Arabidopsis thaliana: one gene and its partner. The protein of the gene in region 1 interacts with the protein of each later gene in a pairwise test. Each region holds a gene or a part of one and is shown in the gene's direction. Other genes may lie near its edges.

The links.
Region 2: the proteins of AT1G19240 (region 1) and UNE16 interact in a two-hybrid assay, tested with the Arabidopsis thaliana proteins (one large-scale study listed by BioGRID).

Annotation. Positions count from the first base shown.
Region 1 is NC_003070.9:6,648,498-6,652,348, reverse strand, and holds AT1G19240 (uncharacterized protein), read left to right. Parts: upstream 1-1,902; 5' UTR 1,903-1,964; coding exon 1,965-2,146; intron 2,147-2,654; coding exon 2,655-2,787; 3' UTR 2,788-3,106; downstream 3,107-3,851. Other genes in the region: FMO1 (flavin-dependent monooxygenase 1), read left to right, coding at 1-208, 508-686, 773-1,122, 1,327-1,693; AT1G19230 (Riboflavin synthase-like superfamily protein), read right to left, coding at 3,200-3,309, 3,510-3,588, 3,670-3,798.
Region 2 is NC_003075.7:7,936,010-7,940,818, reverse strand, and holds UNE16 (Homeodomain-like superfamily protein), read left to right. Parts: upstream 1-2,173; 5' UTR 2,174-2,321; coding exon 2,322-2,505; intron 2,506-2,779; coding exon 2,780-2,856; intron 2,857-2,964; coding exon 2,965-3,019; intron 3,020-3,109; coding exon 3,110-3,188; intron 3,189-3,266; coding exon 3,267-3,336; intron 3,337-3,532; coding exon 3,533-3,955; 3' UTR 3,956-4,213; downstream 4,214-4,809. Other genes in the region: AT4G13650 (Pentatricopeptide repeat (PPR) superfamily protein), read left to right, coding at 1-1,208; AT4G13630 (zein-binding protein (Protein of unknown function, DUF593)), read left to right, coding at 4,790-4,809. UniProt on the Arabidopsis thaliana protein: Transcriptional activator. Probable component of the central regulatory system controlling transcriptional responses to Pi starvation. Binds in a sequence-specific manner to phosphate starvation-regulated promoters.

The DNA of each region.
Region 1 (3,851 bases):
GGGAAATACGGCGACGTTCCAAGAATACCAGCTTTTCCGGCAAAGAAAGGGCCGGAGATGTTTCAAGGAAAAGTAATGCATTCGATGGATTACTGCAAGTTAGAGAAAGAAGAAGCTTCTACTCTCCTCAGTGGCAAAAAAGTAGCCGTCATCGGCTTCAAGAAATCCGCCATTGATTTGGCTTTAGAGTCTGCTTTAGCTAATCAAGGTACATAGATATCTATGTCTATTTATATAAATTAGCTTCACTCTTAATAATTGGCTGATCAAGTCAAAATAAAGATAAAATATATATACTATATAGTGATAGCAATAATTGTCTTACTTACTAGTATATATTATTTCTTTTCGGTTGGACTTGGAACGTATATGGTTCTAGTTGGCAACAATTAAACAGTTACTCGCAAGTTAATTAAACAACATATTAAATATATATCCTAAGATGACCGATTTCGATCTTTATTTAATCTGATTCCCATAATTAAATATAATATTTAAATTTTGCAGGGGAAGGAGGAAAAGCTTGCACAATGGTGGTGAGAACAACTCATTGGGGGATCCCACATTATTGGGTGTGGGGCTTACCATTCTTCTTGTTCTACTCTTCGAGAGCTTCTCAGTTCCTCCATGATAGGCCTAACCAAAGCTTCCTTAGAACTCTCTTTTGCCTCCTCTTCTCTCTTCTGGTTAGTCATCTTATTACCTTTTTCACTTCTCTATATGCAAAAATCTTGAGAATTTTATAAGTTTCTTAACATATATGTGACAACAGCGTGCCGTAGTTTCCAAGTTCATCGAATCATATGTTTTATGGAAGCTACCTCTTGAGAAATATGGTCTAAAACCAAACCATTCTTTCGAGGAAGACTATGCTTCTTGTCAAATGGCGATCATACCGGAGAATTTCTTTGAGGAAGCGGATAAAGGGATGATCCGGTTTAAGAAATCATCAAAATGGTGGTTTTATGAAGAAGGGATTGTGTTTGAAGATGGGACGACATTAGAAGCTGATGTTGTGATACTTGCTACTGGTTATGATGGCAAGAAGAAGCTCAAAGCTATTGTTCCTGAACCTTTCCGAACTTGGCTTGAGTTTCCAAGCGGTGTCATGCCTTTATACAGGTACATACACATAAAAATCGTCTTTAGATTAATTGAAATTATGTGAAAATGCATTAGTTGCACACTTAAAAAGACGATCATGCTATAATATATAGTTCTATGACTATAAACATATTCAGTGGTACAAGTGGAAGCCTATATATTCTTTTATTAGTATACTCATGAAATTTGGACCGTTGCTTATACAAACTAAATCATTTACAGGGGAACAATCCATCCATTGATACCAAACATGGGTTTCGTAGGATACGTCCAAAGCAGCTCGAACTTACACACATCAGAGCTACGTTCAATGTGGCTAAGCCGGCTAGTGGATGAGAAATTCAGATTACCAAGCAAAGAGAAGATGTTGGATCAATTCTTAAAAGAAATGGAAGTGACGAGAAACTCAAGCAGATTCTACAAACGTCATTGCATTTCCACGTTCAGCATCCAACATGCTGATGATATGTGCAACGACATGGGACTCAATCCTTGGCGTAAATCCAACTTCCTCCTTGAAGCTTTTAGTCCTTATGGTTCTCAAGATTACCGACTCGGTCAAGAAGAAAAAGAAGATATGACTGCTTAAACTAAATTGAATATATATTACAAAATGAAATTGTTACGAATTGTTGTGTGATGGATGTATAATTAATGAATAAATAAATGTATGTGTAAAGTACATGATATTTTATATAATAATATTGTATTATTGTATGACCTTGGTCAAGGATTATTTTCAACTAGTAATTATGAAATTCCAATTTTGTCCTTTTGGTCAACGAGAAGTCAATTTAGCAATCGCTTCCTTCATGACTGGAATCATCATTGAACCCTAAACCCTAATTGATCGGCCAGAAATGGAGGGTTTGGAGAAGTTTTACAGCAAGATGGTGAAAGAAGCGAAATCGGCAGCTTCTTCTTCGTCGTCTTCTCTATCTGATTTTGCGGATAATCTGATGCAAGACAAACGAGCCGCCGCCGGCAACTTGACTACTACATACGACGCAGGATCCGGCACTCTGGTAACCAGACCTCCCAGGTAAGCTGCTTCTATTCAATATTTGTTCGAAAAGAGATCATTTTGCCAGTAAAGCTAAGAACTTTTAAGAATTTTGGGTGAGTGAGTGAGGGCATGTCTCCAATTTTTCAGATTCTCTCTAATTATGGGAAGGATGATAATAATAATCACTATTTCTGTGGATGGATTATGAATTGGTCTGCCTGCTTGAGAGAAATTTTAAAAAGATGGAACAAAAATGAAAAAGAGGGCAGATTTTGTGTTATAGCTCAAAACCTAGAGACCATGATGATTTCCCAGTTCCACATCACACAGAGCTTGTAAATTTGTAATGGCTTGTTCAAATGATCTAAGATCTTAGATACCCGAGGAACAAAACTGTGCAGGTCGATTATAGACTATCTAGTAGGAGCTTTGGGTTGTTTCTGATTGATTCGACTAATATGTAATGGCTTTACGTGTTTTGTGTACTATTAGTTCTAATTTAAGAAAATTATCTGACCTATCTTGGGACTGTGTTTGGTGGCAGCGGAGTTTCGGTCTGGACGTGTTCAAAGTTGTGCGCTGTTTTCTTTGTCGCTGGAGTGTTTGTGGGTTATACACTTAAGAGACGGGTTCGACGCTGGGCTTCTAAATTACTGAGAAGAATAAAGGATGATTAACTCCAACCTCGTCTTCTACTGCAAGTTTTGGTACACTTAGCACAAAGGCATTACTCTATTCTTATCCTTGAATGTGTTTTAGTACCAATATACTGTGCTGAGGCACCTTATCAATGAAAATTTGTTGTTTGCTTCTCTGCCTTTGTGACTAGTAGCTTGTGGTAATGGAAAGAGAGATTGAATCATCTTGGGAAAGACACGTATATTATTTCGTATAGTAACTTAGATTTGTTATTTTCATGCCTTTAGGCGGGGTCTATACAAACAGGCAAGACAATGTTTCCTTTTTTAACATAGTGTATATAATCTACTTTGCTAAGTGACTGTGAAGTTAGTGTGAAAAAAAATAATGGCGGGCTGGATTTGAATCTCACTTTAGGGAAAGTGATAGAAGCTGGCTTGTAACATTGAATTAGAAATGCTCCTTATGGAACTCGAACCGTGTGGTTGTTTTTTGACTCATGTCTTGTGCTTGCTTCTTCAACTCCTTTGCCACGGTTTGTATGCCGCAGTAAAACACTCCTGCACAATTATATAAATTGTTTTCACATATGCTTCGTAATACCTGGCCTAAATATTAGCAGACATGTTCATGTGTTTGCATGTGTCATAATTCCTATTGCAAGTTTTCTTTCTTTTCCAATGGTATTAATTCGTTAGTCCTAGAAGAGAGATTTATAAGATGTCTTGATGGTAAGCAGCTGATTGTATAGAATAATTACCGACTGTCGAATTTGGATGCTTTCTTGCTATGCTACTGAAGACTTCCTTCCAGTTGGGCCTTGCAAAATGTGTTCTCACCTGTTTGAATGATGTTATTTTGTCAGTTATAGGTAATATTGGCAAATAGTTTCTGGTTATATGCCCTGCATCAATTCTTACCCGTGTTCCGGATAGAATATCAACTCCATGTTTGGCATGGTTCAAAGCCTGGACCATTTTTATCAGGGTTGATCTTGCATCACCTTCATCATATACGCTTGTAAGGTAGTTGTGCAACTCAATCTGGCCCTGTATTACGAGAAGATGAAGGAATATGTTAGTATATCGATCAATGGTAAAGA
Region 2 (4,809 bases), on another chromosome or scaffold:
TGGTATCCGGATTTCAGCAGAGTGGAAACAATGAAGAAGCACTTCGTGTCTTCGTTCGAATGAACAGAGAAGGAATTGACAATAATAATTTCACGTTTGGGTCTGCTGTGAAAGCTGCTTCTGAGACAGCTAACATGAAACAAGGGAAGCAGGTTCATGCTGTGATCACCAAAACCGGATACGATTCAGAAACCGAAGTTTGCAATGCTTTAATCTCTATGTATGCCAAGTGTGGGAGCATTTCTGATGCAGAGAAGCAGTTCCTTGAAGTCTCCACGAAAAATGAAGTTTCGTGGAATGCGATAATTAATGCTTATTCTAAACATGGGTTTGGTTCTGAAGCACTAGATTCTTTTGACCAGATGATACATTCTAATGTAAGGCCTAATCATGTGACGCTTGTGGGAGTTCTATCAGCATGTAGCCACATAGGACTAGTGGACAAGGGGATTGCATACTTTGAATCCATGAATTCAGAATATGGATTATCTCCTAAACCGGAACACTATGTGTGTGTAGTGGATATGCTAACTCGAGCTGGTCTTTTGAGCCGTGCGAAAGAGTTCATTCAGGAAATGCCTATTAAGCCAGATGCCTTGGTCTGGAGAACACTTTTGAGTGCTTGTGTAGTGCACAAGAACATGGAAATAGGAGAATTTGCAGCGCATCATCTCCTAGAGTTAGAACCTGAAGACTCAGCAACATATGTTCTTCTGTCAAATCTGTATGCGGTGTCCAAGAAATGGGATGCTAGGGATCTTACAAGACAAAAGATGAAAGAAAAGGGTGTGAAGAAAGAACCGGGACAAAGTTGGATTGAAGTTAAAAACTCAATTCACTCTTTCTATGTTGGTGACCAGAATCACCCGTTAGCAGATGAGATACATGAATACTTCCAAGATCTTACCAAACGAGCATCTGAAATCGGGTATGTGCAAGACTGTTTCAGCCTATTGAATGAACTGCAGCACGAGCAAAAAGATCCAATAATTTTCATCCACAGCGAGAAATTAGCAATTTCATTTGGACTCCTTAGCTTGCCTGCAACAGTGCCTATAAATGTAATGAAGAACCTACGTGTTTGCAACGATTGCCATGCTTGGATAAAGTTTGTATCTAAGGTATCAAATCGAGAAATCATAGTGAGGGATGCATATAGGTTTCATCATTTTGAAGGAGGTGCTTGCTCTTGTAAAGATTACTGGTAAGAGCCAAAGCCTGGTAGCTCACTCGCCTCTTTTGGGAAGGTTAAGTCTGTGTTCCAAAGTTCGAGCTCTGGTTCTCGCTCAAAGAAGGAGATCATGGACCAAACCTTACGGGTAAGCTGAATTCTCAGCAATGATATGATACTAGACGATATACTTGAGCAAAGAGTATTATCCTGAAGGAAAGAATAGTCACATGACTGTTCTTGAGGAAAAGTTGGAGTTGATGCAGGAGTTGATCATGAGCAAAGGAGACCATCGATGACTTAACAAAACGAACCACTCCTTTGTTTCTACTACCATTGCTAAGTAACTATCACTATCTTTCATACCCCATCCTTTTTTAGGGGCTTATATATGTGTACATATTACATATATACGTGCATCTATGGCTTTAAAATTGATGAATTGTAGATTAAGAGAAAGTGTCTCAAAATAAAGATTCTATGTTGCCAAGAAACAGAGTCTCTCTTTATGCATATGAATGATTGATGTGCTTCTGATTTCTTAATGTTTTATGTGGCTGAATTTGGAAACTGCTATTACATAAACAAATTTTGTCAATAGTAATATAAAAATTAAAAAACTAAAGCTAAAGAATACTTTTTTTCTCTTGAATTATATAAAAGAAAAATAATTGGAAAAATGTCTAGTAGGTTTAAAGGATTTGATATTTAAAAAAAAATTGAGGACCCTATTTTTTTCTTTTTTCATTTGGTTTATTTTAGCAGTTAGCACCATCTTAAGATAGAGAACTTGAAGTTTTATTCTGCTATTGAAAAACGAAAATAATAACTAAAAGAAATTTTATCTTACTACTTTTTCAAAACATATATGTTATTTGGAATTTCAATGCAAAGAGTACAAATAACCAAAACATAAATTCTGCTCTCTCTTTTTTTTTTTTTGAAAATATCTAAATAAATTCAATAATGCACAAATATAAACACAAAATACTATCCGAGTGTTGTCTTGTCCAATCTATCAACTCGTTTCTTCGCTGTCTTAGAAATCCACAATATCTTTCTTCACACTTTCTTTCACTTTCCCGGGAAAACAGCCGAGAAAATAAAAGAAACGAAGAAAAGTTTGTTCCTTTGTGGGGATCAAAGAAGAATGTACTCGGCGATTCGGTCTTCGCTTCCTCTAGATGGCAGCTTGGGAGACTACTCTGACGGAACCAATCTTCCCATCGACGCTTGTCTGGTCCTAACCACTGACCCCAAGCCTCGCCTTCGTTGGACCTCTGAGCTCCATGAAAGATTCGTTGACGCCGTCACTCAGCTCGGCGGACCCGACAGTAAGTGTCCCTTCTTAGAAATTTATGGATCTTAGAATGAAATGTGTTTTTTTTTTTAATCTGTTGTTCTTCAGTTAGTACGAAGAATTTGACAACGAGTTAGGTCTAATTTCTTTCAGATTTGGAAGTCAATCATCCTGAAATAGAATGGATTTCTTGGGTTTATGTCACTTAGAACAATTTAGGAATTACTGTGGCATTCTTTAGGTTTTTTTTATTGGCCTTGAGATTTGTTTACAAGATTAGTTTTTTTGTGTGTTTGGTTTGATGTCAGAAGCAACGCCTAAAACTATAATGAGAACAATGGGAGTGAAGGGTCTCACTCTTTACCATCTCAAATCTCATCTTCAGGTTTTGATGCTACTACCTTCAATATCAAATTATGCTTCTTTGGCTACTTATAACAAACAAAGTTCATTGCTTTTTGACTGTGTTGTTCTCTGGTTTTTTGCTCGGTAGAAATTCCGCTTGGGGAGGCAATCTTGTAAAGAATCAATTGACAACTCTAAGGATGGTATTCAGTTATATCTTTAGCTAAGAATCCATTTATATCTTTATGGATTCAGTTGTGCATTTATATCTTTGTGAACTTATATCTCTGTAGTTTCTTGTGTTGCGGAGAGTCAGGACACTGGTTCATCTTCAACATCATCCTTAAGATTGGCTGCTCAAGAACAGAACGAGTATGGTTTCAAGTGTTCTCTTTATTCCAAGTGTTATATTCACTGTCTATAACACTCATTGTTTTTGTCTTGAGCCAGGAGTTACCAGGTCACTGAAGCTTTGCGTGCCCAGATGGAAGTCCAAAGAAGACTACACGAGCAACTAGAGGTTAGTTTCTTCTTCGAATTCACCAAATACCAGAGAGACTTTGGTTAATGAGAGACTATATAGAAACCTCCATTGAATTTCCTTAAAGCTTATCAGAACGTTACTACTTAGGAAATCTTTTCATGAAAGTTAGAACCATAGAAACCGCATATACTAATGTTTGAGCCCTGGTTCCACATTTAATAAGATCCATTAGTATACGCAGGTGCAAAGGCGACTCCAGTTAAGGATCGAGGCACAAGGGAAGTACCTGCAATCAATTCTAGAGAAAGCTTGCAAGGCTATAGAGGAGCAAGCTGTTGCATTTGCTGGGTTAGAGGCAGCTAGAGAAGAGCTTTCAGAGCTAGCCATAAAGGCCTCCATCACCAATGGGTGCCAAGGAACAACAAGCACCTTCGACACAACCAAAATGATGATTCCATCCTTATCCGAGCTTGCAGTAGCAATAGAGCACAAGAACAACTGTTCAGCAGAGAGCTCTCTGACTTCCAGCACTGTAGGAAGTCCGGTATCAGCTGCGTTGATGAAGAAGAGACAACGAGGAGTGTTTGGAAATGGAGATAGTGTGGTTGTTGGTCATGATGCTGGATGGGTTATGCCTAGTAGTAGCATTGGATGAAGTTAGCAAGAGAGAGAGAGAGAGCGAGACCAGATTTTAGCTTATTTAATTTTGCTATGTTGTATTTAACTCTAAACTCTGTCATCAAACTTGTCTTAGCGTCTATGTATATATTTGTTGAATCTGTAGCCTCTCTTTTAGTTTGTGTATTTGCTTCAACTTTTTCTAAGCTTGCCTTCTTTTTTCTTTTTTGGACAAACCTAAATATAGAATTTATGTAATTGTATAACATAAAAAATACTCATTAAATACTCATAACTTATCTCCATGCTATAGATTGGATCTTGTCTACAAATTAGTTGGCACACATTTGCGTAAATGCACAAATTTGATTACGTGTGTAAAATAAAATGTCAAAGAAAAAAAAAAAAATCTCAAGAGGAAGAGAGTGATGGGGTCGGCGATAAAATGACGGCGTATCTGCTCACTCGTACGGTGATTTGCAACTGAAGTTTTGAAAACTAAAAAAGAAGTTTTGATTTTTGAACAAAGAGAGAAAATAAAAACGGCAGAGGAAGAGCCGTTTACGTTGTGCTTGCTTCCCCAAGATTTCTCAACTTCTTCTTCTTCGTGTGAGTTTCAATTCTCTAATTTACTAAAAATTAATCAAATCGCAAGGAGTTTCTCTGTGTTAACGATTGATTCATCGTTGAGTTTTCTCTGTGGTAACGATTGTGTTTATATATAATTTGATTGATTGATTGATTAACTTACCAAATTAGTCTTAGATTTGGATATATGCTTGTAATTGATTCAAATAACAATTTGATTCTCTAACCAATTTCTCAAACTTTGAGTAATTTCTGTAGATTATTGTATACTTGCAGGTATAAAATGCGTTGCCAGGAGGTAAA